Ovis aries: one gene and its partners. The protein of the gene in region 4 interacts with the protein of the main gene of each other region in a biochemical or structural test. Links are inferred from orthologs where the notes say so. Each region holds a gene or a part of one and is shown on either strand. Other genes may lie near its edges.

Evidence for each region.
Region 1: the proteins of BCAR1 (region 4) and PTPN12 form a complex in vitro, tested with the Homo sapiens proteins (3 studies listed by BioGRID and IntAct, with this or other methods). The link is inferred for Ovis aries from reciprocal best matches to the Homo sapiens genes BCAR1 and PTPN12.
Region 2: the proteins of BCAR1 (region 4) and PTPN1 form a complex in vitro, tested with the Homo sapiens proteins (3 studies listed by BioGRID and IntAct, with this or other methods). The link is inferred for Ovis aries from reciprocal best matches to the Homo sapiens genes BCAR1 and PTPN1.
Region 3: the proteins of BCAR1 (region 4) and CRKL interact in a test that uses a peptide from one of them, tested with the Homo sapiens proteins (2 studies listed by BioGRID, with this or other methods). The link is inferred for Ovis aries from reciprocal best matches to the Homo sapiens genes BCAR1 and CRKL.

What each region holds. Positions count from the first base shown.
Region 1 is NC_056057.1:45,189,512-45,196,933, forward strand, and holds the start of PTPN12 (tyrosine-protein phosphatase non-receptor type 12), read right to left. Parts: upstream 4,354-7,422; 5' UTR 3,914-4,353; coding exon 3,815-3,913; intron 1-3,814. UniProt on the Homo sapiens protein: Dephosphorylates a range of proteins, and thereby regulates cellular signaling cascades. Dephosphorylates cellular tyrosine kinases, such as ERBB2 and PTK2B/PYK2, and thereby regulates signaling via ERBB2 and PTK2B/PYK2.
Region 2 is NC_056066.1:78,580,905-78,587,734, forward strand, and holds part of PTPN1 (tyrosine-protein phosphatase non-receptor type 1), read left to right. Parts: intron 1-2,713; coding exon 2,714-2,814; intron 2,815-5,101; coding exon 5,102-5,200; intron 5,201-6,830. UniProt on the Homo sapiens protein: Tyrosine-protein phosphatase which acts as a regulator of endoplasmic reticulum unfolded protein response. Mediates dephosphorylation of EIF2AK3/PERK; inactivating the protein kinase activity of EIF2AK3/PERK.
Region 3 is NC_056070.1:72,321,055-72,328,616, reverse strand, and holds the start of CRKL (crk-like protein), read right to left. Parts: upstream 4,970-7,562; 5' UTR 4,568-4,969; coding exon 4,257-4,567; intron 1-4,256. UniProt on the Homo sapiens protein: May mediate the transduction of intracellular signals.
Region 4 is NC_056067.1:2,076,054-2,083,681, reverse strand, and holds the start of BCAR1 (breast cancer anti-estrogen resistance protein 1), read left to right. Parts: upstream 1-3,261; 5' UTR 3,262-3,265; coding exon 3,266-3,490; intron 3,491-7,628. UniProt on the Homo sapiens protein: Docking protein which plays a central coordinating role for tyrosine kinase-based signaling related to cell adhesion. Implicated in induction of cell migration and cell branching. Involved in the BCAR3-mediated inhibition of TGFB signaling.

The DNA of each region.
Region 1 (7,422 bases), on a different chromosome or scaffold from region 4:
TACTTACTAAAGTATTGTTTTTATCTTAAAGAGAATGGGTTTTTAAACTGAAACTGCCATATTTACTTGCAGCTTTACTGTCATCTCTTACAATTTTTAAATATACAAATGTCTAGTGTATATCACATAAACTTTAGCCTAATCAGAATAAACTTACTTCTTGTTTCAATACTTTAGTTATACATGACAAAGCTTTAAAAAGCAAAAGAAAATTACTGAAAAACGAAAGCCCAGACATCTTTTTTTCCTTCTATGTCTATTTATATGTAACTGACTACATAAGTCAGCCATTTGAGAATATTGAAGACAGCATGATCATTTGTTAGATGAAGATCCTAACTATCAGTCCCATACTTCAGTCTTGTGAAGTAGATAGCATTTATCTTCTTTTAAAATTGAAAGAACTCGGTCAATTCATTTTCTTGCAAGTGGCCAAGGTCAGAAAACTAACCAATGGCAGAGATGGTAGTAAACCTACACATGTCAAACATAAATGGGCATCACCCTATGTACACATTTACTTCTCATGATCACTATCTGCAATTTCATAAAGACGACAAGCTGAGATAGTTGTGACCAAGTTCCGGATCTGACACAGATTATCAGTTTAACCATCAACTTGAAATCATTTTGGTGCTATAGTTTACACCATCTCAATACCTTAGTATTCTCCTCTTTACAGGATGGGGCACACAAAAGGCCAATGCCAGGAATAGACAACTCACAGAATGACAACAGGCAGAAAAGTCTCTACTCTTACTAGTCATCACAATATTAAAATTAAAACAACATACTATTCTTCAACCTCGAATTATCAAAGATCCAAGATTATTATATGAACACTCATACATTACTGTTAGTTGTAAAAAGTGATACAACTTCAAAAACTTATTCATTTACATATTTCAGATGTTTACATCCTTTTATCTAGTACTTCCAACACCAATGGAAGATATCTTATGCAATAATTCAAAATAAAGAAATTTTATGCTTAAGTGTTCTCCACAGAATTATGACACATAATAGCAGAAAATCAGCGGCCTAAACTTTCAACTATAAGAAAATGGTTAAGCTATATGACAGTGGCTAGGTGAAATATTATATAGCCACCTAAAATTATCTTTACAAAGGAAAAACACCTAAATATTAAGTTGGAAAAAACCCTAAGAATATTAAATGGTACGTGTAGTATGGTCACAGAGAAGCATTAAAGACATTAACAAAGATAGCCTTTGGGTGATGGAACTACAGGAAGACTGAACAGAACAATGGAAAAACCACAGTATGAATGCCTATTCCACTTTCCTAAAGGTAAGGCATTCTTAATTACTGCTCTATAATTTCCAAATTTGAAACAATGAACATTATCACTTTATAAATGAATAGGGTTATAATAGCTAGATTACCCTAAGGCTCAGTTCTCAAATGCTAAAAATTTTAAAATGTCAGAATTTAAGAATTACAGAAGTGTTTATTATTAGAAGAATCTATTAGCCAATATATTTTCTTTTTGTGGCAGAGGGGACAAAGTTTTCCTCCAGCTTTCTAGTTAAGAGAAAAAGAGGCATAACTGGCAGATTTAATTATAGCTATTGCTTATCAAGTCACAGAATAAAAAAAGCAAGCACTGTAAAAGAACAGCCTTAGTCATCAAATCTTAAATGCAGAATCACCTAGATATCCCTAGGTATTAGGGAAGAAAAAGAAAACTCATTTAGTCCCGGAGAAACGAAATCTCCAATAGGAATCCCTGACTCATCCCCAAAGCATGAACCCGAAGGCTACTTCCCCTGTACAGGAGTTCAGAGACTGGGCACTTGTCCTGATGGCCTGCATCAGCAAACAATGCCCTTTCCTGACAGGATATGTCCATAGAGAACAAGAGGACCAACATGCCAAGTGGACAGGGTCACACACCTCTCCTTCCACATCCAAAGTAAGACTGTGTTAGACTAGTTTTAAAATCTAAGTAAATATTTTCTTTTATGTTTGCTAGAGAGTAATAAAAGGGGGACTCTGTCCAATTACTGTGATGTCATTTCAAAGATACCTAACACATTCAAAATTCCCAATAGGAAGAAGGAAACATCTTTAACTTTTTCAGATAAAAGGGAAATTGGGGGGGGGGAGATACATGGGCTAAGTATCAAGAGGAAATGTTTAAAATAAACCATAAATTATTTAATCAACATTTTTTACACTTTCAAAAGATACTAACAAAACCAAACTCCTATCTTCTATTATTGGTTTAGGGAGGCGGGAATCACAAAGCTCAACTATACTGTTATGACACTGAGTAAAGTTAAGGGTTAAGAATGTTAACGCTAAAGTTTTACTAGACCAAAGTCTCTTTAAAATGTGAAAAGTATTTCGTATTTCAGTGCGAAAAGCCATTTCACCTGCACCTTGTAAACAATTAAACTGTACTTTGAAACAAAAACTAGCCAATGTTTGCGACTCATTTTTATACACATTAACTGTGTATCTTTTTCACAATCCAGAATTTCAGAGTTAGGTGACTACTCTTGGAGGTGAATCTTGCCCAGAAGCAAAATTTTCCCTAGCTTATTTCCCATTTCCAAACCCCGCCAAGACTAAGGAGCAACCACTTCCCAAAGTCCCACTTCCTTTTCCATTCCCCAGACCTCCAGGGTTTCCAACGCCCCAGTCTTGCGCAATATCCGTAGGAGCAGCGCCGCAACCACCGCCTCCTAAGGCGAGAAACAACCCTAAAGGGAACATTGTCCAGCAGAAAAATAAAGGAGGGGGGGTGGCAATGGAGGAAGTCGACTTCTGGTCCCACGCCTTCGGATCTGACCCCCTCGTAGTGATGGCTCGAGAGCAATTCCACGACCAAGACTTTTAACCTCCTATCCAGCCCGCCAGTACAAGCAAAGGGCGGAAGGGGGAGGGGGGATGTCGGAAGGGGGGTGGGGAGACTACGAAGGTTATCTCCCAGTTCAGGGCTTCAGCCCGTACAGTCGCCTCCGCCCCACCAGGACTATTGTTCCCAAGTTCCCCACCCCCACCCCGGATAGGAAGTGATAGTCACATCCCCTCCGCCTTCGGCAGTATCCCCTAGGGAGTCTGAAGTAGGCTTCCTTCGGGATAACCACGCACCCTCCACCCCCACGCCCTGCCTCTACACACACTTATCCCTCAACCTCAAATCACGTTGACCCCTACACCATCTAAAACCTGGGTCTCAAGAGACAAGAGACAGGACGGCAGTAAATGGAAATCGAACATTCCACGAGATTTCCTATGGACTATCCTTTCTCTTGCATTGGAGATAATACTGCGAACCCAGAAAGAGCAAAAAGTCCTACCCTGACCTCTTTTGAGACCAGCTTGAGCAAAGGGACCCCACGAGTTAAATGCAACCTTAATAGCTCCGTTCCTCAGTCGGCGCTATCCGCTCTCCTTCCTGCCTCGACCCTCCCAGGAGGAGCAGACTGGATGGGGAGATGAGAAGAGCCTACCGGCCTGCACCTCATTCGCCTCCCGCTCCCAGCCCGAGAAACAATAGGTGGTCGCGGGCGGCGGCGCTAAGTGCGGGCTTGGCCAGCGGCCTCTCTTCGCGTTCCGGACGCGGGCGGAAGGGGCCGCGATCGCAGGACGAAAGGAAAGGAGGACGAGGGGCGATCTCACCTCCCAGCCTCCGAGTCAACCCCGGCCCTTGGGGTTGGCGCGCGCCCCCTCCGCCCCTCTCCTTACAGCCGCACACAAAGCGCCGGCGGTCGGGCCGGGCGGGCGAAGAGGCAGTGGGCTTGGATGCCGGTGAGAGGAGGCAACAGCGAGGGGAGGGACTCACCATGAAGTCCCGGGCGAAGTTGTCCTCCCCATTATGGTCCGGACTCTTCATGGCCTGGACCCTCTGGATGAATTTCCTCAGGATCTCCACTTGCTCCATCCTCCCCCGTCCCCCCGGTTGCGGTCGCTGGCCCCCCCGCCGCCCGCCCGCCCGGCGCAGAGCCCGCTCAGTCTTCCCCAGCTCGCGCCCCCTACCCGTCCCGTCTTTCCCGACCCCTGACGCTCCCTGCTCCTCCCCACCGCCCAAGGCAGCGGCGGCACCGGCGGCACCAGCCCGGCTCCCGATCCTACAACTTCCAGGAGCAGCCACTCTCCCACAGTAGTAGACGAGCCGCAGCGGCTAGCGCCAACCCCAACCCCCAGCTTGCTCCATCCTCCTTCCCCGCCCTGCTCCTGCTCCGTCGGAGACGCAGCCACCGCCTTAGGAACACGGCTCTCCGATCGCCCTGCCCCCCCCACCCCTTCCCGGTTCCTCCTTCCCTCCCTCCAGACTAGCAACCGCAGCCGCCACTCTCCACGGGCGCGCCCCCGCTGCCACCCAGACGCGCGGCCCCGCGCAGCGGCTAGATCCCCGGGGCTACGCCGAGCTGAGCCACGCCCGCTTGCCACGCCCCCAAGCCCGCCCCGCCTGTCCTAGTCCGTCTAGGAGTGGCTGGAAGGAGCTTCAGCCGTCAGCTGGGGGACTTGACCTCATTTCCGGGGCGTGGTTCCGCCCCAGCAGTTTGCCGGTCTGAAGAGAGCTGGTTGGAGGGAATTTGACTCCGCCGGACAGACGCTAGTCAGTTGGAGTAGGACTTGAATTGGAAACTGCGGTCTCACCGCCTTTTTGTGGGAAAAGTACATTTCTAGACTGCTTTCGCGCCGCCGCCGGCTTTGAGCTGGGACTGCAAGTCCCGGCCCGGCAAGAGTCCAGGAGTAGGGGCGGGAGAGGGCGGCGGTGGGAAGAGAGGCATGCTGGGAACTGTAGTGTCTTCACGTTCGCAGCAGGTACGTCTTCATCTTAATGTTGACGGCAATTAGATCTTGGCACTTTGGGCAATGGCCACGGCCAAGAGAAACGAAACGCTTCTTCAGTGAGAGGACTTTTTTGCTTTTTTGCAAATCAGTCTAAAACCTGGTGAAAGAGCGCCTGAGATTCACAGTGGTCCTAATACATAACACACGTTTGCTGAATTGGAGAGAATTTGTCTTCTTGCCTTTAGATTCGGAGCAACTCAGAACTGAATAATAGATTTTTCACCCTAGACTGCATCTTTGTAAGTCTTCTAGTAATCAAAGAAATCTGTCCTAGTCTTATTCACCATTTTACAATGAAAGTGTTTGCTCATGGTCCCCCAGTATATTCTTAGCAGAGCCCAAACTGGAACTCAGATCCTTTTTCTCTCACCAGCACCATGTTACCTCTCACTAAGGAGCGTAAACGTGATAATGTGACTGAAGTGAAAGACCTGATCCATGAACTTCTCTAGGTCACTTCCTTTTGTTCACTATACCACAAACAATGCTTTTTCCGGATAAGATTGGTTAGGCAATTTGGTTAAAATAAATATCAGTAGCAGGCCCCGTTTCCCAGATGAATGTTTAGAAGCACCGTGGAATTTAATAATAAACTTGAAGAAAACAGGTGTGAGTAGCAAGATCCAATTTCCTATTTGTTTTAAAGAAAAATATTTCTTTTTAAAATAATACAACTGATACATACAAATCTACTCTTCTCAGAAAGAACCACTTCCAGATGTGTCCTTCCAATTGTCTTCCTGTGCATTTGTATACAGGTATGTGGATATAAAAAGATACAGTTTTGTCCTGTATTTAAAAAAAGAGTCCCCTTAGAGGAATAGTTTAATTTCTGAGGTGAGCTTTTAAAATAAGGATCTGGAGTATTTTACTTTAATCAGATTATTGAGACTCACTGGATATGAGAAAAGATTAAGATCTGGATTCGCTCACCCACCAGTATAGCTCACTGTAGAGTACCCGTTTCCCCTAGAACTAGGCAAGGAATTAGAGTGTGAGCCGTAAATGGGCAGATGATCAGGACTGCCTCTACTTTTGATATGTCAGAAGAATGTGCAAATCAGATTGATAAAGACTATATGCTGGACAAACTGTATCAGTCTAGTGACAGTGGGGTGGGAAGTGTTGACTTGTTTTGAGTTATCCAGCCCTATTTTGGCTGATGGTTTTGCTGGGGCTTTTTTGTTTTTGTTTTTAACTTTTCTTATTACAAGCTTCTCTCTCTTTCTTGCAACACTAGTGTCTCCAAATCTCAGCAGCTACCTTTGGCATCTCATGTAGGTTAGGGAAAGCTAAAGTACCCTTATGGATTTCAGGTCTTTCTGGCTGTGTATGAGTAAGTTGTGAGGTAATAAGGGGAGAGACTGGAATGAACACTATTAGGAGGCAATAAATGACACAACAAAAGCTGAAACTAAGATCATAGCATTGCAATTACAGAGACACAGAAGGAGATGAGAATGAAAGAACTCACAGAACTCAGTGACTGACTTAGTGGGCAAAAAAGAAGGTGAAATTTTAAAATAACTAAAATTACCAGATTAGAAGAGATCAGAAAGTTTGACAGAACACGAGGCTGTGCATGCTTTGGACAAATGGAGACTTTTGCACAGATGGTGTGAGAAACTGGCACACCATCTTTGGAAGCAGTTTGCCCTTGTGTGTGTGTGTGTGTGTGTGTGTGTGTGTGTGTGTGTGTGTGTTAGTTGCTCAGTGGTGTCTCTTTGCAACTCCATACCCCATTAACTGTAGCCTGTGAGGCCCCTCTGTCCATGGAATTCTCCAGGCAAGAATACTGGAATAGGTTGCCATTCCCTTCTTCAGGGGATCTTCCCAACCCAGGGGTCAAACCCAGGTCTTTCACGTTGCAGGCAGATTCTTGAGCAACCAGGGAAGCCCAATTTGGCCATGTGTGTGAGTGCGTTAATCACTCACTCATGTCCTATTCTTTGTAACCCCTTGGACTGTAGCCCACCAGGCTCCTCTGTCCATAGGATTCTCCAAGCAAGAGTACTGGAGTGGGTTGCCATTTACTTCTCCAGGGGATCTTTACAACTCAAGGATCGAACCTATAAATGTATCAAAATGAAAATATCATGTATACTTTGACTAAAAAATTTATTGATAATATTTAGAGCTGTGTACAAGCATGTGTACTTTATACAGGCTTATTTGTAATGGCAAGAGTGAAAACAGTATACCTACCTATCAAAAGGTCACTGGTTAAAAAAAAAAATCACATATTTAAGTTCTGTGAAGCCATTAAAAAATGAAAAAAATAGTCTATATGTTATGTGTTGAGGTCAAATAGGTTTCAGAATCTGCTTATTAAGTGAGGAAAGCTTGGCACACACTTGTTCATGTTATTCCATTTATGTAAAATGGAATGTGGATAAAATATGAATAAAATGCTTGAACATGCATAGAATTTTTCTGAAGTATACTTCAAAAACTGCTAGCTGTGATAGCCTCTAGGAGGACCCTGAGAATCTTTGGTAGAAAGGATACAACTTCCAGTGAGCATACTCTGTTATATTCTGAGTATTTTAGGATATGTGTGCATTACTTTTCAAACAAAGTTAAATCTATTTC
Region 2 (6,830 bases), on a different chromosome or scaffold from region 4:
GGTCACAGAGAGCCTTGGGACTCACCTCCACGTGGCGTCGCCCAGCAGTGAGGGCCGTGGCTGCAGCAGCTCCACAGCAGTGCCCTCTGCCGGGGACGTGACGATGCCGCCAGGCCCCCGAGCAGACCGGTCCCACCGAAGCCCGCTGCAGGGGCGGCTCCTGGTGCCCTCCACGGGAGAGTGGCAGTGCCTCCTGCCAGATGGTGCGGTGCCCCAGGCTGTAGGCTGGGGAGTGAATTAGACCTGGGCTGGCGCTAAGCAGTCTACTTCCGACAGCTGCCGCGGAGCTCTGCCCCTCTGAGCTGCATGGCCTCAGGCGGGTTGCCCTCTCCTCTGATCTTCAGTCAGACCAGAGTCACAGGGATCTCAGGACTGGACGCAGACGGAAGTCAGGACACATCAGTGCTTAGCCCCAAGTCTCACTCTCAGTGTCGGCTGTGGCTGAGACGGCCAGGAGCTGAAGTGCCCGCTGGGCACGTCCGCCACGCGGCTGGGTCAGGTGACACAGGATTTTGCCCCAGTGCCTGATTCTCTTGATTTAGCACTTCCAGGCTATGGCTTCACATAGATGTCATTTAAGAATAATACTGATGGCCTCTTCTCAGGGAATTCTGCCATGAGGCCCTGGCCAGCTGCCCTGCACTGGAGTCACCACCGCAGTTCATACCGCACGCTCGTGCCCACCAAGCCCTTGGTCTAGAGCCTTTGCTGTACTCGCTCTGAATTAGCAACAATATTATCTTTCATATTTCTTTTCTGTGTTTTCGGTCAGTATTCATCTAAGTTTGTAAACCAGCTTTACAGAGAAAAAAAACAGCATTTGAAATATTCTTCCAGGGATACAATTCCCAAACTTTTTCAGTTCAGTTCAGTCGCTCAGTCGTGTCCGACTCTTTGCGACCCCATGAATTGCAGCACACCAGGCCTCCCCGTCCATCACCAACTCCCGGAGTTCACTCACACTTGCGTCCATCGAGTCTGTGATACCAGCCAGCCATCTCATCCTCTGTCGTCCCCTTCTCCTCCTGCCCCCAGTCCCTCCCAGCATCAGGGTCTTTTCGAATGAGTCAACTCTTCACATGAGGTGGCCAAAGTACTGGAGTTTCAGCTTTAGCATCAGTCCTTCCAAAGAAATCCCAGGGCTGATCTCCTTCAGAATGGACTGGTTAGATCTCCTTGGACTCCTTGAGAGTCCAAGGGACTCTCAAGAGTCTTCTCCAACACCACAGTTCAAAAGCATCAATTCTTCGGCGCTCAGCTTTCTTCACAGTCTGACTCTCACATCCATACGTGACCACTGGAAAAACCATAGCCTTGACTAGACCAACCTTTGTTGGCAAAATAATGTCTCTGCTTTTCAATATGCTATCTAGGTTGGTTTTAACCAGTCTTAACTCCTTGCATTTTTCTCCCCTACCTCCACTCTTCACTAGAGAAGGTAATTTGCTTTTAAAGTTATGAAGGAAATGGGAAGAATGTTTCAAGGTAGAAGGTGATCCTGGTATCTTCCGTTTGGCAGGTGAAACACTCAGCACTCAGAAGATAAGTTTCTGCCCGAGGTCACCACCCAGTGCTGTGAGGCCGCTTATGTCCATGGCCCATTTCAGTATCACCTGAGTATTTCAGTGTGTACTAACCCTCTGTGATGAGAAAAATTATTCCAAACAATGGCTAATCTACTAAAACATCTCTTTGGAACGCTTTCAAGTAGAAAGCCGCTAACTGCTTATCCGCATTAAGTTTTCCTTTCTCTCTGGGCAAGGGGAGAACTGTTTATGGGCCGTCAGCTGAGTTTACTGTCCCTTGTTTGTACCAGAAATAAAAACACCCACCTGCTCTTGTTAATGGGCCTGGCAAGATAAGGAAAGTTGCCTTCAGGAAAATAGGGCTTTTGTGACAATGTGGTAAAGAGGAGAAGAAGCGGCTGTGGTTTTTTAGTAACCTGGGGTAGACCTTTCAAATGCAAGTGTATTTCTAAAAACTATTCTGAAAGTTACTTTTAATATATTTTTAGTGTTGTGTTTTGGATTCAGAGTCTATGTTTTCCTGTTAAACTCTCTTTTAAGTGTCTTTGATTGTGACATTTATGTTATACTTGAGCTTTTTTAAAGACAACCTTGTATCAAGGAATTCAGGGTATGAATTTTCACACTGTTGTATACTTCAGCCATTTAATCTTGGAAGCATTAGGCACAGGTGAGCCTGAGACGCGATCGTAAATGAACAGCTTGGTTCATTGTACCAACTTGAACTCTGGGGACTGGGTGGAATATTGGTGGATTTTGTTCCCTTTTAAAGATCAAAGCCATTGCATTTTTTACTCATTAAAGTATGTTTTAGGCCTCAGAGAACAGATTCCTTGACATCCCCCCCCCCCCCCCCCCCGTCTTCTGAGGTGTGAGGACAGTAATAAATATTATAAGACGATAAAGCCTAAAAACAGATTTCCCAAACAAGAATTAATCTGTGTTTTAGTGTAATTTGTTTCTGTTGCTATTTTGTATCAAGTTTCAGATACTTTCAAAAACCTTCTGAAAGTACTTGTTGTTCCCATTATTGGAGACACTAATTTAATCTCAGAACAGTTTGGACTCAGCCAGTGTGAACACCCTGAGCACCTCACTCGCCTTCTCTGCTTTCCCCATAGGGCGCATCGCCTGTGTAAGCACTTAAGTCCCCCTGGATTAACCTTGCATTCTGGTTTGCCTTTCAGTTGATCACAGTCGGATTAAACTGCATCAAGAAGATAACGACTATATCAATGCTAGTTTGATAAAAATGGAAGAAGCCCAAAGGAGTTACATTCTCACCCAGGTAAACAGAGTCTGAATTTTTCTCTAGTGGGTTTTGCCTCTCTCGATGTCAGCCAAAGAGTTTGACAGTGCCGTTATCCACGCCTCACATAAAGTCTTTCACATCTTTTAGAAGACCAGGTTTCTAACCCAAAAAAGCAACATGGGAGGGAAAAGTCTTCCTTCAGAGATTCAGTCTAGTCATGACATGAATCTTTTCTGGGAAGTATGTCATTGCTGGATTTGTAGACAACAGCAGTAGAGTGCCAGGGTTGTCTAGTTTGTTGACAGAGGCAGTAGCTAGAGAAGACGGTACCTGTGTTGAGTCCCTAAGTATTTGCCTCAGGGCATCAGAGCTGGTTATGGACACGTAAGAGGGTTAGTAATAGACCAGAAATCTTTATCCAGATGGCCTTTCAGAATTCCTCTGCGTGGTCCTCATTCTTTGGGGGTGGAGGGGTATGTTAGGTTATGTGGAGAAGCATACAGAATGACTTGAAACTCCCCTTGGTTTTTGGCGTCTTTATGGAAAAAGAAATCACAACAGTGGTTTCATAATTGGCCTTTTGTGAAACACTGGTATATGACCCAAAGACCACCGGAGTCTGGGGAAGAGGGTGAAGGGGTCTCTCTTAACCGATTTTCTCAAGTCATCATCTCTTACTGGTACATTGATATACACAGTCTAAATCAATCTCTCTCTCTCTCTCCCTCTCTCTCCGCCCCCCCTCAATCCTCATTTCCTCTTTTCTCTTTCCATGTCAGTTTCTCAGTCTTATATTAGGTTGGGTTCTAGGGTGACTGTGAACATCACAACCCTGTCTAATATTCGGAGGCTAAAATGGCAGTGAAGCTAAGGCAGCACAGTGACCAGAGTCTGCTTTGGAGCCTTTTCTTGGGGGCCCTTCTTGACTGTCCTTTTGTTCTATCCGGGTTCCTCTCCACACATGACCAGAGTCGGCCCGACACCCACCCCCAGGCATTGTACGGAACATCAGTCCCCAGGCCCTCAGCCGTGGTCCTCCCAGCCCTCTGGGGTTGGGGTGAGGGGCAGGGAGACCTTGGTGGCAAGCTGGTGGGAAGAGGTTGTGGCAAAGTGGCTTCTTGGGAACTTCTGTTTTAGAAGTGGTCAAGTTTCTTACTTCCTGATTTCAGCCGTTCAACTTGGTCTGGGGTCAGCAAGCCCAAAGCAAAGATAGGGTATATAAAGTCAAACGGGAATTAGGAAATCACCATGAAAACTTTTACCCCGCTGTCCTCTCCACCCCAGCACCCTCGCAGTTGCTTGGCACATCTGAAGTTCCGTCTGTCCGTCAGATCGCACCCCAGATGTATCCAGCTGCTTGCTGACATGGTCTCCCTCTGCCCTGAGATTCACGTAAGGGGTTCAAGCAGCCTGGCCCCAAAGTTGCACCGCTGGACAGTGGGACTGAAATCATTTCCATGCCACAAAACCAAGAACACAGTGCCCATTTTTTCAGTGTCGTTCATTAAGCAAAGAATGCAAGGCTCTCGCCTCACTTTTTAAACCTGTAGAGAGTAATGTCACGGATACTGGCCTTCACGCCCACCTTCAAGTATTGGCTGTTTGGTGTGTGTCCTTTCAGATCTTCCATGACTTTAGTCCCTCAGACCCGTTCTGGACTGGAGTGATGTTTGGGGCCAGTGGCACCACGGCCCTTGCCCACCCCCGGCTATCTGTGTGCCCTCATCTCTTAGGTCCCGTGCTCCAAGGGTGAGGGGAGTCTGTGGTCGGATTGGCCAATAATAGTAGTAATAATGATAGCTTACACTTTGTAGGGTATTTACTGTGTTCCGGGTCCTGCAGAAAGGTGTAGTCAGTCTGTGACCATCTTCCCAGCCCTGTGAACATGTGCTCTGACGATTAGAGGCTGGGCGGAGGAGCTGCGGGAAGGGAGGCAGGTGGCTTGTCCGAGGGGTGTGCGGGTGGGGCCCTTCCCCTCCACCGCTCATCTGCAGCCAGCAGTGTTGTTCGCTGTCCCAGCCGCCCTGACGCAGAGATCTCTGGTGCCCTTGCTCCAGCCTGCCCAAACCAGAAAGCAGAATCAGTGTTTTCTCTCCTCTGTCATTCAGCTCTGAACCAGCTCTGAGATACGGAAGTGACTTTTCGCTACATGGTAGAAAATAGAACTGTGGTTACTGACCGCTAGGCAGGGAGAGGCAGGTCCTGGCCTCAGCCACGGCTTCCACGCTACCTGAGGGCGCTGTTGTCCACTCAGCACCGACAGCGAGCTCGCACCAGGACGGGTTTGTATGTAAGATGCACACATTGTGAATTGTGTTTGCAGGGCCCTTTACCCAACACCTGCGGTCACTTCTGGGAGATGGTGTGGGAGCAGAAGAGCAGGGGCGTCGTCATGCTCAACAGAGTGATGGAGAAAGGATCGGTGAGTTGGAGCTGCCCACGCTTCACGCCACTGTCCGTGCGGGTGCCAGTCCATTAGGGCGACGTTTGTCTGTTCATTTCCTCAGGTTGCTTTAGATTTCTGTTAGAAAAATCCAAAGAAGCAGTATGTAATTACATGCTTATTGTAACCAAGTCAGATAAACAGGTGAGTTTAAAGGAGAGAAAGGTTGAGCGGCCCTTGCCCTGGTCTCCACCCTACCCTGTCGGCCGGCCTGCCCAGCGCCTGGAGCGTGAGCCCCGCTTCCCTCTCCCCTGTGCTTCTTGGGCTGTTCTGCTGGCTTCGTGCAGCGGTGCGAGCAGAGCTTCACTTTGGGAAAGCAAGTTCCTGCCGTGCCTTGACCGTGCCTGCCCTCTCTGGTAAAGTGCCCCTTTGCACAGCCCAGCGGTGAGAGCGACTGGAGGCAGAGCGGGCCCTGTCAGGTCCGCAGGCGCTGGGCCCCTGGTGTCTCCCTGGCTGCTCCTCTCACAGGGACAGTGTCTGCTTGCGCTTCCCTTCCGGAGTGTGGGCCTCGCTTCTGAGGACTTTGCAACGTGGACCTGTTTGTTAGGCCACCGCCTGCCTCTCCTGTCTCTTCTGCCCCTACATCCAGAGCGATCTTTCTAAACCAGGTCTCCCCCACCTCTTGCCAGCTGAAACCTTCCTGGGGCTTGTGCGCCTCCCAGGACATATGCTGGACCGGGTACAGCTGGGCCCTCGGTGGCCTGGGCCCCGCTCTCTCCCTTTATCACCCTTCATCAGCCAGAGCAGACTTACTTTATTAAAAAAGAATTTTTTTTTTTTAAGTCTCTCACCCCTTCTCTGGACTAATGACCTAAATCACACTCGCCCCCTCCAGGTGCACGTGGCTACCCTCAGGCCCGCGTGGCTGTGCTGACCTCCCCTCACGTCTGAGGGCACAGTAGGTGTCACGTCCTCCTCCCAGGCTCCTGCCCTCTCCCCAATGCCCACTGCCAGCCGCTCGAGGCTCCGCAGCCTCCGACATGGAGGCCCCAGGGGAAGAGAGCCAAGGAGCATGGAGGCCAACGGGAAGGGGGGGCTGGGCCGGCGCTGGCACCGTGCTCAGGCTCAGCAGGGACGCCGCTGTCCCGGCTTCCAGAAGGACGTGAATGCTCCAGAGAAGCCCACCTCCAGAGAAAGGACCATCGTGGCCCTCGGGAAAAGTACAAGTGTGAAGCAATAATGTGTCAAAGGAAACTTGAGCAGTGAAAACCTGAAGGGGTAACGCACCCGCCGCACAGACTCATCCCTCTCTCCGACAGCAAACGGCCCTCTTACGACAGTTAATGTTTAAAATCGTCTCTTTGCCTCTGCCTCCTTTTCTCAGAAGAGAGGATTCATTTGCTCTACAGAAACAGATAAAGCGCTTACCTGAATATTCAACTGCTACAACAGTGCGTTTTGTCTGAGAAAAAAAAGTCTTAGTGAAAGTGGTTTTTTAATTTTCTCTGCAGTGGCTTGATGAGTAAAACACACATTTGCAAACGTGAAGTAAGCCCTTATCCACCACCTTTCTTGTCAGCAACTTTGAATAAAGAAACAAAACATCAGGTTCCTGCCACACAGGTGCTCCGCAAGGGAAAGCAAACCGTGGTGGCCGGCGCGGGCGCTG
Region 3 (7,562 bases), on a different chromosome or scaffold from region 4:
CCTTCAAGAGCCACTCCCCACAGAGCACCTTTTCCTCCAGGCCCTGCCTGACCCCCGGCCGGCCATCCGCGGCACCCTCAGGGAGCTGAGCTCGGCGGCAAGGTCACGGTCTACTTCCATGACGAGGCTGGAGTCCAGTCTCGCGCTCTGGGACGGAGGAGGCCTCAACACACTGAGATTCCTGCTGAAACTAAACCGCCACAGACACAGGGAAGCCTCTCCCCCAGGCCCCGGTAAGTCTGTTCCACAGACAAGGAAACCCCGTGTGCCACCGGGCTTGCTGCCGGGCCCCTTCGTCTCTGCGCCGCCAGCATCCCCGACTAGCGGCCCCACCTCGCTGGGGAGGCCCTATCTGGACTCCCACTAACAGAGCACTGCCTCCTTTTACTTATCAGAAGGAAAACGTTGTTGCCCGAGTGAACCTCAAAAATAATCCAGTCCAACAGTTCAGATCAAGAGAATCATTCTTCTATAAAACGTCCTCTGAATCCAAGTCTCAAACGAGAGAAGGGTCACAGGTCAGACGGCTGTCAGCACTCAGGCGCCACGGGGACAGAACTCCCGCCTGGCTGAGGTTCCATCCAGCGTCACAACAGTTCTGTTCCCATCTAAACTGAACTCAGGGGATTTAAGCTACCGGTAAGAAGAGACTCAAAGGTTACCCATAGTGCCGAATTCTATGTCAACTGAAATCAGCTACCGCTCCTCTCCTACCTGCTACTCCTAATTACGAGCCCAAATGCCCCCTTAAACACCCAGGTTGCGGCCGTGGGAGAAGGCGTGGCCTCTGCCTGGCGGCCGTGAGCGTCCCCTCTGGGCAGGCGCTCAGGTGAGGTTGGGCATCCTTTCTGGCCCTCGCACAGCTGCTGCCTGTATCAGAGGACGCGGTCTTTAAAGTCAGCATCCAGGAAGCTCCAGAAGAGCCTGACAGGGAGTGCTGAGCAACATCAGATCTGTACCACCAGAGCGTGCTCTCAGCAATATCTATCGAGCAACAAAACAGGGGGGTGGGGGTGGGGAGGTGCCTCTATGAGCCAACTCGCCTCTGTTTTTCCCATCTTTGCTCCTCACGACCCTCCTCCCAGTCATCACACAGCTACACGAGCTGGAACCGGAAACTTCATAAGAGAAGCGACCTACGCAAAGCACACTTCCAATTTTCTAGACCCGGGAAAATGTACTGTCTCTAAACTGAACCCACTCAGAAACTGGACCCTGCTGTTAAACTGGAAACAGCCTCTATTAAAACGGAAAGAAAAACCCAGGAGCACTTACCTAACACTGAACAGAACTTAACAGAATCTTGGAAGTGTTCACACTCAAGTAAGATGGAGGTGAAGTGTCTGTTTATGCAACAAGCTTCAGCCTACAAGCTGCACCCGTGTGCGGAAAAAGAATCCTTTAAAATCTGTCATTGGAAAACCAGAAGCCACTGACACACCTTAAATGTAAGATCCAAGACAGGACTGAATAGTGCAACTCAAAAGGCAAAATTAACAAGACAACCCAGAGGACAGGCAGCTGCAAACACACCAAGTCATCTGCCTCTTCCTTCCTCCTCTCCGTTCCCCTCCCATCAGCAACCGTCTTCAAACCACAGCCGTCCGTCAGCCCTGCCAGTCAGCCTGCGGAACGTCTCTACTACAGATGGACGCACGGACGGACGGACAGCTCACCAATCGTCATCACCGTGACCTGGATTGCAATAATGGCCCAGGTCACTTCCTGACTGCAAACTCCCCCCTGGCACCCCACTTCCTTCCTCTGAGCAGCCGATTCAAGCTGCCTCTGCAGAGCCACGGCCCTGGCGCGGCTGGCTCCCCACCCTGGGCGCCCTCTTGGCTTCAGCCCTGCTCTGACCCTCCTGCCTCAGGTCAGCCCCGCCTGCTAGACCCCCTGCCCACGTGGACTTTCTTCACACCGACCAATGCTGTCTTTTACTTAAATCTCTACTTTCCAGCCTGTCTCCTCACTGACATCTAAGGCCCATGATGGAGAAAGCACGTCACCCCTCTCTCCCAGTACGCATCCCTGGGATTAACTCTCCTGTAATGTCTGGACAAGGACGTACACTGTGAAGTTAAGGGGGCGTCCCTGTGGTGCAGAGGTTGAGACCCCAGCTGCCACTGCCAAGGGCTCAGTTTTGGTCCCTGGCCAGGGACTTTGGCTCCCACACGCTGCACGGCCAAAAAAAAAAAGCTACTCCCCCAACAAAAAAAAGAGATCAGTCCTTAAATTCTGAGGAAGCCAGTAAGTCGTCACTTTTTACTGAGCAAAATGAACCCCAAAAAATAACTATTAGCCAAAGCGCAGAAGCTCTGGCTTCAGGAGCTCGGTTCTGAGGCCTGAAAGAGCCTAACCACTTCATCCATCCTGCCTGGGGCGTGGAAGCACACGGCCCTGATTTTTGCCTTTGGCCAAAGCTGGCCCGGCCTTGTCTTCTACACTAGCTGAGTAATAAGCGCATCACACAGATCCGCGGGTTTCTGGCTCCGGGAGAGGCGATCCAGGTTCAGTGTGACCAAGTGAATCCTGCCAGGATCTCATTCAACTGGGGCAGCGGCAGCCCTCGGAGACACCAGGGGAAGGAAAACTCGACGGCAGCGGGACGCCCGGGGCAGCGGGCGGAGAAACAGCAAAGCTCAACTGGAGGCGGGGGCAGCGCCAGGGAAAGGCCCCAAGGGCAGGGAGGCGCGCCCGGTGAGGGGCGGGTGGGGCCCGAGCAAAGGTCCTCCGGCGCGAGTGGGCGTGTAGCGCGGGCTCCCTGGAGGCGGCGGGAGAGGGTGAGGACGGGCATCTGGGAAGCAGCACGAAGGGAAAGCTGGGGGTGGCGGCTGCGGGCACTGGGAAGCCAGGGCCGCGCCCCTTTCTCTCCACCCAGAGGGGCTCGAGTCCCTCCCTCACGGCTGCACTGAGGCGCGCGGCGAGGCCCAGTCAGTGCCCGAGAGAGCGCTCAGTCACCTTCACAAGCCAGAAGAGCCAGTTACGCGAACGCAGCTGAAGCCTCACCACTGCGGGAGCCGAGAGCCCCCAGCCTCTCACGCTGGAATCACACTGTGCTGAGCGCTGCCTCTAGCTCCCAGGCTCTTCGGGGACCTGGAGGCCTCGCCAGTCAGACTCGCCGCGGCTAGGCCTTTGTTACGCAGTATCTGATTTATAATCCCTGTCTCCCAGCTTTTAAAGTCCATTTAGCTCAGCAGTTAACCTCCTGGTCATTACACCGCGAGGGCTTCATTCTTCTCTACCTCTAGTCCACAGAAGCATCCAGTGCGTCCCCCTTTAATACGACAGCTTCTCATGTTCAGAGCTGAGACTACTATCTTGTCAGCAGATCTATCAAGTCAGAACCATCTCACCCTGAAAAAAACCTGTATTAGCACCCTGTCCTTTCTAAGCAGACGCTTGAAAAGATCAATACCTTTTATTTTTAAAACCCTACGCCATCTCTTTAGCTCAAGTTTTGCATAATCTGCACAAAAGAAGCCTCGAGCAAAATATTAAGGCCAATAATGAAGCCCAAATGAAAAGGGATGCCCAATGCTCAGTGTCACTCTGGGTTATTTTAAAATAGATACTAAGTCATGCAACTCAGTACAAAAAGGACATCTGAAATTCAACTAGCGTAGAATCTTCAGTGGAGTGTCATTCAAAATTTCCTCTTAGTAACAGTCTAGACTCATTCCACCTTGGAATTTAACCAAATGGATTTCCAGTCCATTAAAGGCCCAGCTTGGGGGAAATCTATTAAAAAAAAAAAATTCCTCGTTCAAGCCGACCTCTTCTACAGTATTTTCAGTTAATGTGTTATAAAACAGACGCCTGGCTTATTTCAACCCTGGCACCAGGCTATCAATATATGGCCCTGATATTTCACAGGTAAAGGCATTTCGTTTCTACCTGCGAAGGCATTTCCATCTCTAGAGTTTCCAAAGGCTGCCGTCCGGGAGGTCCAACCCCGGAGCTCAGAGACCCTGAAAGCGGTGCAAACTCGGGAGGGCGGGGGGCAGGGAGGGGCCCGCGGGGCGGGGAGCCGAAGACTAGCTTCAGAGTCTCAACCCGTGGCCCCAAACCGGCTGCAAGACCGGGAGCAACGCCCTGCTTCAGCAGGTAATTTGCACCGAGGACGCGACGAAGGGCAGAAAGCGCCCCTTTTCCAACTGGGCGCCCGCAGCGCGAGCTGCCGGGCCCGACGCACCGCCCTCACCCACGGCGCCCCCGGCCGGCGCCGCCGCGCCGAGCCCCGCGGCCCCGCGCACCTGGGCGCCGGCTCGATGAGCGTGGTGGTGTCCAGGTAGTGGATCTTGTAGAACTCCAGCAGCGCCGGCAGGTGCTCGAACTCCTGGTCCCCGATCTTGAAGCGGCGGTTGGGCAGCGAGTTGATGATGTAGTGGGACACCCGCGAGTTCTCGGACACGGACAGCACGTAGTCCCCCGGGCAGGTGGACGAGTCGCGGACGAGGAACACGCCGTGGCGCTGGCCCTGGAGCCGCGTCTGCGCCTCCTGGCGGGACACGGGCCCCATGTACCAGGCCGAGCGGTCCGAGGAGTCGAACCTGGCGGAGGACATGGCGGGCGGCGCGCGGGGGGCCGGGCGGGCCGCTCTCGCCGGCGCTGGGGGCGCCCCGCCCGCGGCGGCTGCGCGCCGGCCGGGCCTCGGGCTCACCGCGCGCCTACAGGCCCGCGCCCGCGCCTTCCTCGCGGCCGCGGGCCCGCAACATCCTCCGGGCCGCCGGCCTGCTCCGGGGCCGCCGCGCGGGCCCAGCCGGCTCCGGGCGCGGGCCCGGCCGAGCGCGGCGAGGGCGGCTCGCGGCGCCTCCGCTCAGCCCTGGCCCCGGCGCGCGGCCGGCCCCGCGTCCCCGCCGCTCCGCACCGAGCCCCGCGGCCGCGCCGAGCCGCACACCGCCCGGGAGCGCCGCGCCGCCGGGGCCGCCGAGCCCTGCCCCGCTCCCGAGAGCCACAGCAACAAAATGGCGGCCGCGGGCGCAGCGGCGGCCACCTCCCCCGCCCCCCCCCGCGCCCCGCGACTGCGCACGCGCGCGCGCCCGCTCCCGGCGGCCGCCGGCGCCGCCCCGTGACGTCACGCCGCGCGGCCAATCGCGAGGGCGGGCGTGCGCCGCCCGCGCGCGGCGCCGCGCTCCCTCCCGGGCCCGCCGGGGGGCGCTGCGGGGAGGCGGCGCTTCTGGAGCCCGCTCCGGGAACAAAGCGGGCGGCGCGGGCCAGGCCCGGCCCCCGGGCGCGGCCCCGGGCCGTGCGCAGCCGGGCCGGCCAGGTTAGGGGGTGGCGGGGCCGACCGCCGCGGGTGCTCAGGCGGTGGCTGGCGAAGCTCCCGCGTCCTCTCGGAGCCCTTGCCGCCTTGGCCCCCCCAGGACCCCCGCCGCAGAAGCCCCGGCCCCTGGCCGCACCCCCGTCCGCGCCGGACCGTCCGTTTCACGGGAGCGGGGTTTGGTGCGCCTTGTTCAGCCCTGGGCCTGGCGCTTCTTCGCCCCGCCCTACGCTGATCTCAGACCTGGGCGGAATGAATGACTGTCGGGGACCCCCCGCCCCCGCCCCCGCCGGCCGGTGGAGGCGCCTGTCCAGAGGGGCATCGGAGCCCGGCTCTAGACTCCTGGGGAGCCGATCTCGTTGCTGGGCTGAGCCTGTCCTGCACTGTAGGTAGGGCAGGCGTCCCCAGCTTCTGCGACCCAGTGCCTGATGACGGGAGGTGGAGCCGATGTAAGAATAACAGAAAGAAAGTGCAGCGTGAAAGGAATGCGCTTGAACCATCCCCCGCCCCGAGGAAAAACTGTCTTCCACGGAAGGGTCCCTGGCGCCCAGGATGCTGGGGACCACTGTCGCAGCGTGATGGCTGACGTTCCTTCCGGGTAAACTCAAGGGGAATCGTCACGGCCTAGGGCCTTTTGTGACTCAGCAAAGCAGGTTTTCAGCTTCCCTCCAAATACTTTCGCGTCGTGTTACTTTCGGGCACAATTTGAATAGCTCAGAATTTGAAGAGGAAGGCTTGAGTTCCAATCCTAACCTGACTTACCAGTTGACTGTATCATTCCTTGTCATATTTTTTTCATCTTCTAATATTAATTTTTCTTTCAGTTTTATAGAGAGATAGTTGACATACAGCACTGTACAAGTTTAAGGTGTACAGCTTAATGGCTTGACTTGCTTACATCATAAACTGATTATCATCACCATAAGTTTACATATAGATACAAAATTAAATACAAAAAAAATGTTTAGTGAGCATCTCAAAGATACACAATTATATCTCAGAGAAGTTATCATAGGTTGTATGCTTTGCAAGAGGCACTCAGGGAGGTCTTTTGAAGTCCAGGACTCATTTCAGTGTTACACAATTATTGCCTATAAGTTAGTCCATTTTGCTTGCTTTGCTAATGTGTGTGTGTGTGTGTGTGTGTGTGTGTGGCGGGGGGAGCTATTAATTACATTATTCTACTTTTGTGTATGTTTGGATTTTTTCACAATAAAAATAATTAAGTAATTTCTTATTTTTCCTTAGCACAGCTGAAACAAGCTTAAAAACTTTTTCCCCCAAAAAAACAGCCTAGCCACTAAGAGGTAATGAAATGGAAATGAAGGGGACAAACGACAAGAAGCTTTAAAAAGGGGCCATAACGTAAAAAAGATTTGTGATTCTGCTCTAGCTTGCTCTTCCCGAGGTTTCCAGGTAGCATTGTACTTACTCTCTTCTAAGATAGTTAGTTTAGACTCAATTGACAAGGCTTTTCCAGCAACTTGCCAGGGTTCCTGTCCCTGAGGCTGCCTCTGTACTGAGGATTCAACGCCAGCTCTCTTTTGTGGCCTCGCCACGTGGCATGCAGGGTCTTAGTTCCCCAACCGAGAATCAGACCCGCAGCCCCTGCCTTGGAAGACAGGGTCTCAGCCACTGGGCCGGCAGTGAAGTCCCCTCACCGAGGAATCTTTTTAATTATGTGTTTGTTTCCCTTTTCTGTGCGGGGTCTTCATGGCTGCACGGTTTTTCTGCACTTGCGGCGAGCGGGCTTCTCGTTGCGGTGCCTCCTGCTGCAGGGAAGGGCTCCAGAGCGCAGGGCGCGGTGGTTGTGCCGCTGCTGCCCAGCTGCTCCGTGGCTTGTGGGATCTTACCAGATCAGGGACCGAACCCACGTCTCCTTCACTGATAGGCAGATTCTTTACCCAGTGAGTCACCAGGGGAGCCCCCACCCCGCCCCACTGACTTCTGATTCTCCCCTGTCTGGTCCAACCCTGCAAGCGATGGTTAAGGCCGGACGGTCTTCCCAGGTTGCTGCCTTACTGAGGACCCGGGAGGACAGTGTCTGTCCCTTCTTCCTGCCCTAGATTCTTTGCTGGCAAAGACAGTAAGGTAGAAGAGGCCTGCCTGTGTTACGGGGAGACGCAGCAAGCGCGCTCACCGCGCTGACCTGATTGGGTCGGGGGTTCTCAGGCGTGGTCTCCACGAGCCCTGGTTGACCACTGCCTGGGTTAGACACATCCTTGGAGACCCGCCTCGCCCTCTCACCCTGCAGTTCTCCGTCACTGCTCCCCCATGCTTCATGTCTATTTCCAAATTT
Region 4 (7,628 bases):
CAGGGTCCTTGGCTTCCCTGGGCACCCGTGTTCCTCGACCTCTTTTCTGCCCTGCAGGTCCTGAAGGTGCTGCAGGGGGTTCAGCGTGGGCTGCGCTATAGCAGCCCCGCCGGCCCTCCCTTCCAGGACTGCACTCTGGGGGGGGGCAGGAGGGGCAGGGGAAACTGGGTCTCAGCCTCTTCATCTGGAAAATGGGGCGAATTGGGAAGCCTGTTGTGCAAGATCACGGTGGGCACGAGATGAGCACGTGATCATGGAGGCCTTAGCCCAGTGCTGGCCTGAGCGCTGTCCTGGGGGCTGCGTCCCTTGGCCGTTGGCCTGGGAGGGTCTGCTCCCCCACAGACCCCGGGAGCTGCCCAATGGGCGCCCCTCCCCCAGTTCCCAAAGGCAGGCCTGGGAGGGGGCACTCCGCTACCCCTTCAACCCCTCCCCTTCCAGCACACTGGGGCACAGATCCCGGGCCTGGATTCCAAAGCGGAAATGCCATTCTAGGAGGCACAGTCTTGGGGGGAGTGGGGAGTTTAAGTGGAAAAGAAGCAAATTTTTGAAATGCCTGGGCCAGAGCTGGGTTCTCCTCCCCCGCCTGCCCGCCCACTTGAGCAGCCCCGCCCCCGTTTGGCTTTAATCCGGTGGAGGGAGGGTCTCTGGTCTTCTCCCTCCAGGCTGCTTCCTCGCTCTCCCAAGGCCAGCCTGACAGGGCTGTCCCTGCCCACCTCTGTGGAGACCTACTGACTAGCTGTGGAGCCTGGTCCCCACCCTACTCCCCACCCGAGTGGAGACCCCGGGGAAAACCTAAGGACCCCCTCCACTCAGCATGGACAGATATTCACTCACGACCGGCTGCTCCGATGTTTCCTTGGAAGCGGAGGTGCCAGTCAGGCTGAGGGCAGGGCAGACCCACGGCTTCCTTTCTAACTTTGGGGCGTAGCCTTGGGAACAAGCAGGAGGGGACACCCTTAACATTCCCGAGAGCTGGCTCTTCTGTGGGGAATGGAGCTGTTTTGAAGAGTACAGGGGGGCCAGTCCTAAGGCGGGCATACGGTGGCAGCTTGTCCTGTTCCTTCTTGAGGACTCTAGGTCCCCCTGTGTGCAAACCTTGCTGCTCTTCACCCACACACTATGCTGAGAGTTTCGTCCAGTGGTTCCCCAAGCAGTTTTGGGGGAAATGCAGATGTCCGGATTCCTCTCACTCCCAGTTTTTCTGGAGGAGGGGACCTAGGAATCTGTTTCTGAACAAGCTTTCCAAAGGATCTATGACCAGCCAGACGTGGGGCATCCTAGCCCAGCTCCTTTTTATAGATTAGGGAGAGCCTGCCCATGGTAGCACACCTGGAGAGGGGCTGTGTCAGCCTGGGTGTCAATGGAGGGACACCTTTGGGTCTTCCTTGGGCTTGTACTACTGTATTTTATAGGCCACGCCCGAGGGTTCTCTACAGGATATGCCCTGCTGCTTCGCTGGCATTCTGAGCTGCCTGATGGTGTCTGCACACTCAGCAGGTGGCTCGAGAAGGCAGCCTGTGGGAGAACCCCAAATGTGAGGCGCGGGAGCGTCCAGGTCTGGAGCTGGCTCCTTCCTAGATCTCCCTGCTGCAGCCCTGGACCACCTTCAGGGACGGTCACAGCTTGTCTGCTGGGGAGGGGAAGTTCAGAACCATGGTGCCCTCCAGTCAGCTTCCCTGTAGGGCTTCTCCCTCCCGGTCATTCCCATCAGCATCCCTCCCAGCTCCTGCTGCTGAAACAGGGGAGTTGTTAGGCCAGAAGAGTCAGCCCTGGACAGGGCTGACTGAGGGGTCTGAGTGGGGGCAGAGGTCCTGGGGCAGCACTAGGGAAGCTGGATTCAGTTCGGAGAAGGGGTAAATGGACAAGCTTCTTGTCCCCGGTGCGCTGGGGCCTCCTGCACACTGTGGCTTCTAGAACACGATGCGCTCCGGGCCTCCACTCCCCGCGTTACCCACGGAGACAGCTGCCGTCCCCGGATTCCCTGCCTTCCCCGGCGTCCTTGCCGTGTCTTCACGTTCTGGGGCTCTTGACACCACACGCCTGACCAGAGTCGGTGCGGTGGTAGTCGGAATCTCAGTTTTCTGCCAGCTGGGGCATACTCCTCCGGGTGCAGATCTGAGTCGGACTTGTTGGATGGACGCGTGTGAAATGACCCTCGCTGGCAGGCGGGGAAGGCTGGCGCCTCCGGGGCTGCCACGGCCGCAGAGCAGGAGGGCAATCCCGGCAGTCTTCCCGGAAGAGGAAGGCCACGGCCTTTGAGGAGGGGCGCGCTCGCCCTCGGTGGAGGGCAGGGACAGGCCTTCGGAGCGCGGGGCGGGCGGGTTCCCGGAGCCCCGCGCAGTCCCGGCCCTGGGGGCGGGGCCGGGGGCGGGCCCTGCTCGGCGCCCCGCCCCCGGCCCGGCGGGGCATTTGCATGGGGGCCCGCGTGGCCAATGGGTGCGCGCGGCCGGGCGCGACGGAGCGGGGCGCGGCGGCGGGCGGGGCGAGGAGGGCCGGCCCTGGGCGGCGGCAGTGGCCGGGCAGGCGCTGAGGCGGCCGCACCGGGGCGCGGGAGCCGCGCGGCCTCGGGGCGCTCGGGACCCCGCGAGCGCGCGGCGCGAGCGGTTCGCTGTGCGCCCCCGGGGGGAGCCCAGGCCCACCGGACACCATGAACTACCTGGTGAGCTCGGCCGGGGCGCGGTCCGCGCACCCGGGGCCGTCGGCCGAGGCCCCCCGGCCCTGCCCGCGCCCGGGCGGACCCGGCGGGCCCGGGCGGGGAGGGGTTAAGTGAGCGGCATTTCCTGCCGGACCCGCGGGTCCTGGGAACGGCCGCCGCGGGGGCGTGGGGCCGGGGTCCTGCGAACCCCCTCTGCCCGGCCCGGGCTCGCGAAGGCCGGGGCTGTGGGCGACCGCAGGCCCCGCGCGCCCGCGGGCTGCTGGAAGGACCGGGTTCGGGCGCCGCGGGCCGCAGGGAAGTTCCTGGATCCGGGAGAGTAGCTGGCCGGAGGCCCGCTCCCGCCTGCCGGCCGCGCCTGCCGGGTGACCTTGGGCCTGAGAGCCGGGTCTCCGAGCCCCCCCCTCCATCGCCCGGAGCAGCGACCCGGGGCCCCTTGGGCCGTGAATTTCCAGGAGGCGGGGTGGTGCTCCCTGTGTTTTGGGGGGACGGTTGCCCCTGCCCCAGGCTAGGGATCGAGGGCGCCGGGAGCAAGTGCGTGGTCTGCGGAGAAGTTAATAATTAACCTCGGTCGCCAGCGTTGGACTCCGGGATCCGGGGCGGGCTCCAGTTATGGCCTTCGTTCTCTGCAGAAGCGTTGTGGGAGCTGGACGGTGGACAGGCCAGTCCAACCCCACGCGGCGGTCCCATCCCGGTCCCTCGTCTGCGCTGGTGGAGCCTGCGAGCCGGGAGGGGCGCGGCCGCCACTCGGGTGGCCGCCACCTGGGCTTAGGTGCCCGGGTTGCTGCTGCGCTCGGCAGAGCCCCGGGTAGTGGTGATGGTTTCGGAGAAACTGAGGTTTGCCGAGGCCTGGGGGAGGTAGGGGAGCGTGAGAGATTAAAGTCCGGGGAGATGTTGGGGTCTCCCATCTCTAGCTGGTCTTGAGAACAGGGAGCTTGTTTTCTCCCCAGCCTTAAGACTCTCAGCTGGGAGGTCCTGTCCGGGTTTGCTGTGCCGGTTTCAGCCAGGCCCGGAGGTATTCCTCATCTCCCCCCACCCATGACCGTTTCCTTTCCAGGGTGGGGAGCTGATGCTGGTGTGGAGGGACGTGTCAGGGCTAACAGGCCTGGAAAAGCAGGAGAGGGGCCTGAGTGCAGGTGGAGCCTGATGGGAAGGGAGTCTGGGAGGAGCTGTTGGCAAGCCCTTCTGGCACTGGCACCCGCCACCCACTTGACCTCAGCGAGGGGAGAGTCCAGTGGGTGCAGGGTGGAGGCAGGCTAGGGCAGTCTCCAACTCTGCCAGGACGGTCAGCCTCAGCTCCAGAGAGCTGTACACTTGCGCTGCAGGCTTGCCCCGTCTGCCCAGGCTTGGGCAGGAACTGAAGTGAGGGCAGTGCCCTGGGGGTCCTGCCCGAGTGAGAGAGGCCACTGCTCCCTCCAGGTGCAGATGGGGGCACTGAGGCCAGAGAGGGACGTTACTGTCCTCAGAGCTGACCCAGGGCGTAGTCTCCTGGTGTGGCCCAGCTCGTCCATGTGCTCCCCTCACTCTGGGACTGGGGGGACTGCCAGCTCCGTGGGGTCTCTCACTGGCTCCCACACTGTGCCTTAGTGGCCCCCACCTGTCATTCTTTTAGGGGTCCCAGCGCCCGTTTTCTCTCAGCCTGGAGAGCTCTCCTCCGTCCCCCAGGAGCCCACAGCTGGCTGGGGCAGCTAGAACCAGCCAGCAGGTGGAAGGGGGTGGGGACAGTGCTTGGCGGGCACTGGGTCATTCTCCGGGAAGACACTGTCCAAGTTCCTCCTCTCTGGGCCCTGAAGGCCCCAAGTACGGAGCTCCAGGGTGGTCTCCCTCCAGGGGGCGGGCGGGAGAGCCCCTGACTTGACCTGCTCCCATCTCTGCCTGGGGAGAGGGACGAAGTACTGGCTGGCCTGGAACGGGCTCAGGGTGGAGGAGCTGGGCCCCGTCTCAGACCCCTTTTCCAGCACGCACCCTAGACACCAGGGCTCGGGACCTTTTTTGAGCTGGAGAACTGTGCTCTTTGTACCAGTGTGTCTCCCTCCTCCTGCTGAAGCAGGTGGTGCTGCTTTAAGGGCTGCTGAGGGTTACCATTTAGGACTGGAGAGGGGGCTTTGAACGCCGAGGTGGGGAAACCAAGGCGTTGTAAGGAACAACGCCTCTGCCGCCCCACCTGGGCTGTGCCTCTGTCTCTGCCCCTCCAGTGGCAAACCTGGGGGGTGGCCGTGGTGGCTTCCCAGGGCCTGATGCTGTCCGTGAACTCAAGGTCAGCCTGTGCTGGCCTCTGCCAAGAAGCCAAATCCTGAGACTGAACAGGCCAGACTGTCCCAGCGAGTCTGGGGTCTGGGTCAGTTCCCTGGGCGGGTGGCAGTGGTGCGGAGCTCAGGGTGCGAGGACCACTCCCAGCTGTCAGCAGGTAGGTGGGCTCTGGGACAGTGGGCTCTGCTCTCGTCCCTCCCCAGGGGCTCCTCAGTGCCCGGGGCCAGGCCCGCCTCTCCCCACCATCTGGTGTGCTAGAGGCTGCAGGCCATGTTTGCGGCTCGAGGACCCTCCCTGCCCAGCCGCCAGGGTCCGTGCCTGGGCTCCCTGCCCACGGCCTTCTTCCCGCCCAGGACCTGAATGCGGAGGCTCTTGCTCTTGCCACTGCTAACCAAGGCCGGGTCAGGGCTCCTGCTGGCCATGACCCCCCACAGCTGGGTTTCCAGTCTGTGTCTGTGGGCCTGTTCTGGCTGCTGGGGTCAGGGCCTGGGGCTGAAGACCCACACCCAGCCCCTGCTCTGCGTCTGGGGCTCGGGCACTGCCCAGTAGGCGGGGAAGGGGGCATGCCTGCCTTGTCCCCGCGCGTGGCTCTGGCGCAGGGTCTCACCCGTGCTCCTCACGCTGGGCACTGAAGACCTGAGCCCAGTCCCTGAACTCTCAGCTGTCCTGGGTGACACCAAGGCCAGCTGTTCCGGAGTTCTGTCCGAGATGAGGGTGTGGGGACCCCTGGAAAGGTGAGGGGCTGCCCTCCTGAACCCCCCAGCCCGGAGCAGAGCGGGGGCTTGCCAGGGCCCTGGGCACGGGGCAGCCCTCCTGGGGGCGTCCCAGGGCACAAGTGAGCTGTGGGTGTGGGCTGCGGCGGGGGCACACACACGCTTTGGCTGTATCCGCTGGCCACAGGGTCTCCTTGGGACAAGCAAACAGAATACCCCAGAAATAATCTTGGCCCACATTTGAGACGGCCGTGTATGAAGAGAACCAGTGTTTGCCGAGTGAGTGCCGTGTGTGGGGCTCTGTGCTCGCGGCCTGGGTGTGTGTCAGGCAGGGATGGGGGGGTGAGCAAGGCCTGTGAACTTTACGCCCTGGATTTCGTGGACCTGACCAGTGCCCTGGGGCCTCCTGGCTGCACTTTGCCACACAGCTCAGGGCCCCTCTGCCACGTCCTGCCCGCGACGCTGGCAGATCAGGTAACGGCTGTGCACCTCAGTTTCCCTGTCTGTAGGATGGGCGTAGTCCTGGTGTCTCGAGGTGAAGGAGATACTGAGCGTGCAGAAGGGCTGTGTCGTCAGATTGTCACTGTGAGCCTGTCAGTCTCTCAGCCGCCAGGTAGCACCACCCCCGAGTCTGGGTTTGGGGACCCCTAGAGCACACCCAAGACTCTCTGGGGCAGCAGGTGGAGGGCACACCCATCCGACGGGCACCAGTCTCCCGGGCGCATGCCCAGTGGCGACCGTGGCCCAGCTGCTCCGCGCCCTGGGCCCGTGGGTCTGGCACACACAACGAGGGCCATTCTCACCCCAGGCCGGCCTGCGGGACAGCCTCTCAGCTCCCCGTGCAACAACCAGGCCGTTGTCCTGGGTGCGCCGATGGCAGGCTGTTGACCAGGGAGTATTGCTTCAGGCTGGGGGTGCCCCTCTGTCCCCTCCCTCTAGGGTGAGGCCGTGTCAGGGGGCTGACCTGGCTTCCTCGGGTGGCTCCCAGGGAGGCCAGGGCACCGCCCCCTCCTGCGCCTGGCAGGTCAGCAGCCCCAGGTTCAGCCCTGCTTGTGCGGGGGTCCCCTGCTGAGAAGGCAGGACCCCCTCCCCCCTGCCGTCCTGGATGCCCAGGTTGGGGGACATGAAGTGGGCAGTGATAAGGGGTGTCAATTGGCACCTCAAGGAGGGCGCACCAGGTGGTGGGTGCCCAGGAGAGAACGTGGTAATCTTCCGGGGGGTGGTGACACCTGAGTGGCATCCTGAAGGAGTAGGATTTAGCGAGGGGCTCCCCAGGTCAGGAGTGAGGGGCCAGAGGTGGCGGCTGCCATCCCCGTGGTGCCTGGATGCGGGTGGGCCCCTGTGCTGTGCCCTCCTGGGGGCCCGGCTGTGCCCCCTGGGGCTTATGAAGCCTGGCAGTGATGGAGGCTGGCGGGCCAGGTGCTGTGCCCTCCTGGGACCCTGGCTGTGCACCCTTGGGGCTCGTGAGGCCTGGCGGTGACAGAGGCTGGCGGGCCAGGTGCTGTGCCCTCCTGGGGGCCTGGCTGTGCGCCCTTGGGGCTCGTGAGGCCTGGCGGTGACAGAGGCTGGCGGGCCAGGTGCTATGCTCTCCTGGGGGCCTGGCTGTGCTCCCCTGGGGCTTGTGAGGCTGGTGGGCTGGGTGCTGTGCCCTCCTGGATGCCCAGCTGTGCACCCCTGGGGCTCATGAGGCCCAGCGGTGATGGAGGCTGGCGGGCCAGGTGCTGTGCCCTCCTGGGGGCTCGGCTGTGCGCCCCTGGGGCTTGTGAGGCCCGGCGGTGATGGAGGCTGGCGGGCCGGGTGCTGTGCCCTCCGGGGGCCCGGCTGTGCGCCCCTGGGGCTTGTGAGGCCCGGCGGTGATGGAGGCTGGCGGGCCGGGTGCTGTGCCCTCCGGGGGCCCGGCTGTGCGCCCCTGGGGCTCGTGAGGCCCGGCAGTGATGGAGGCTGGCGGGCCGGGTGCTGGGTGGACGGGCCCCTCTTCAGCCTGGAGCGAGGACCCAGGCCTGGGCACACGT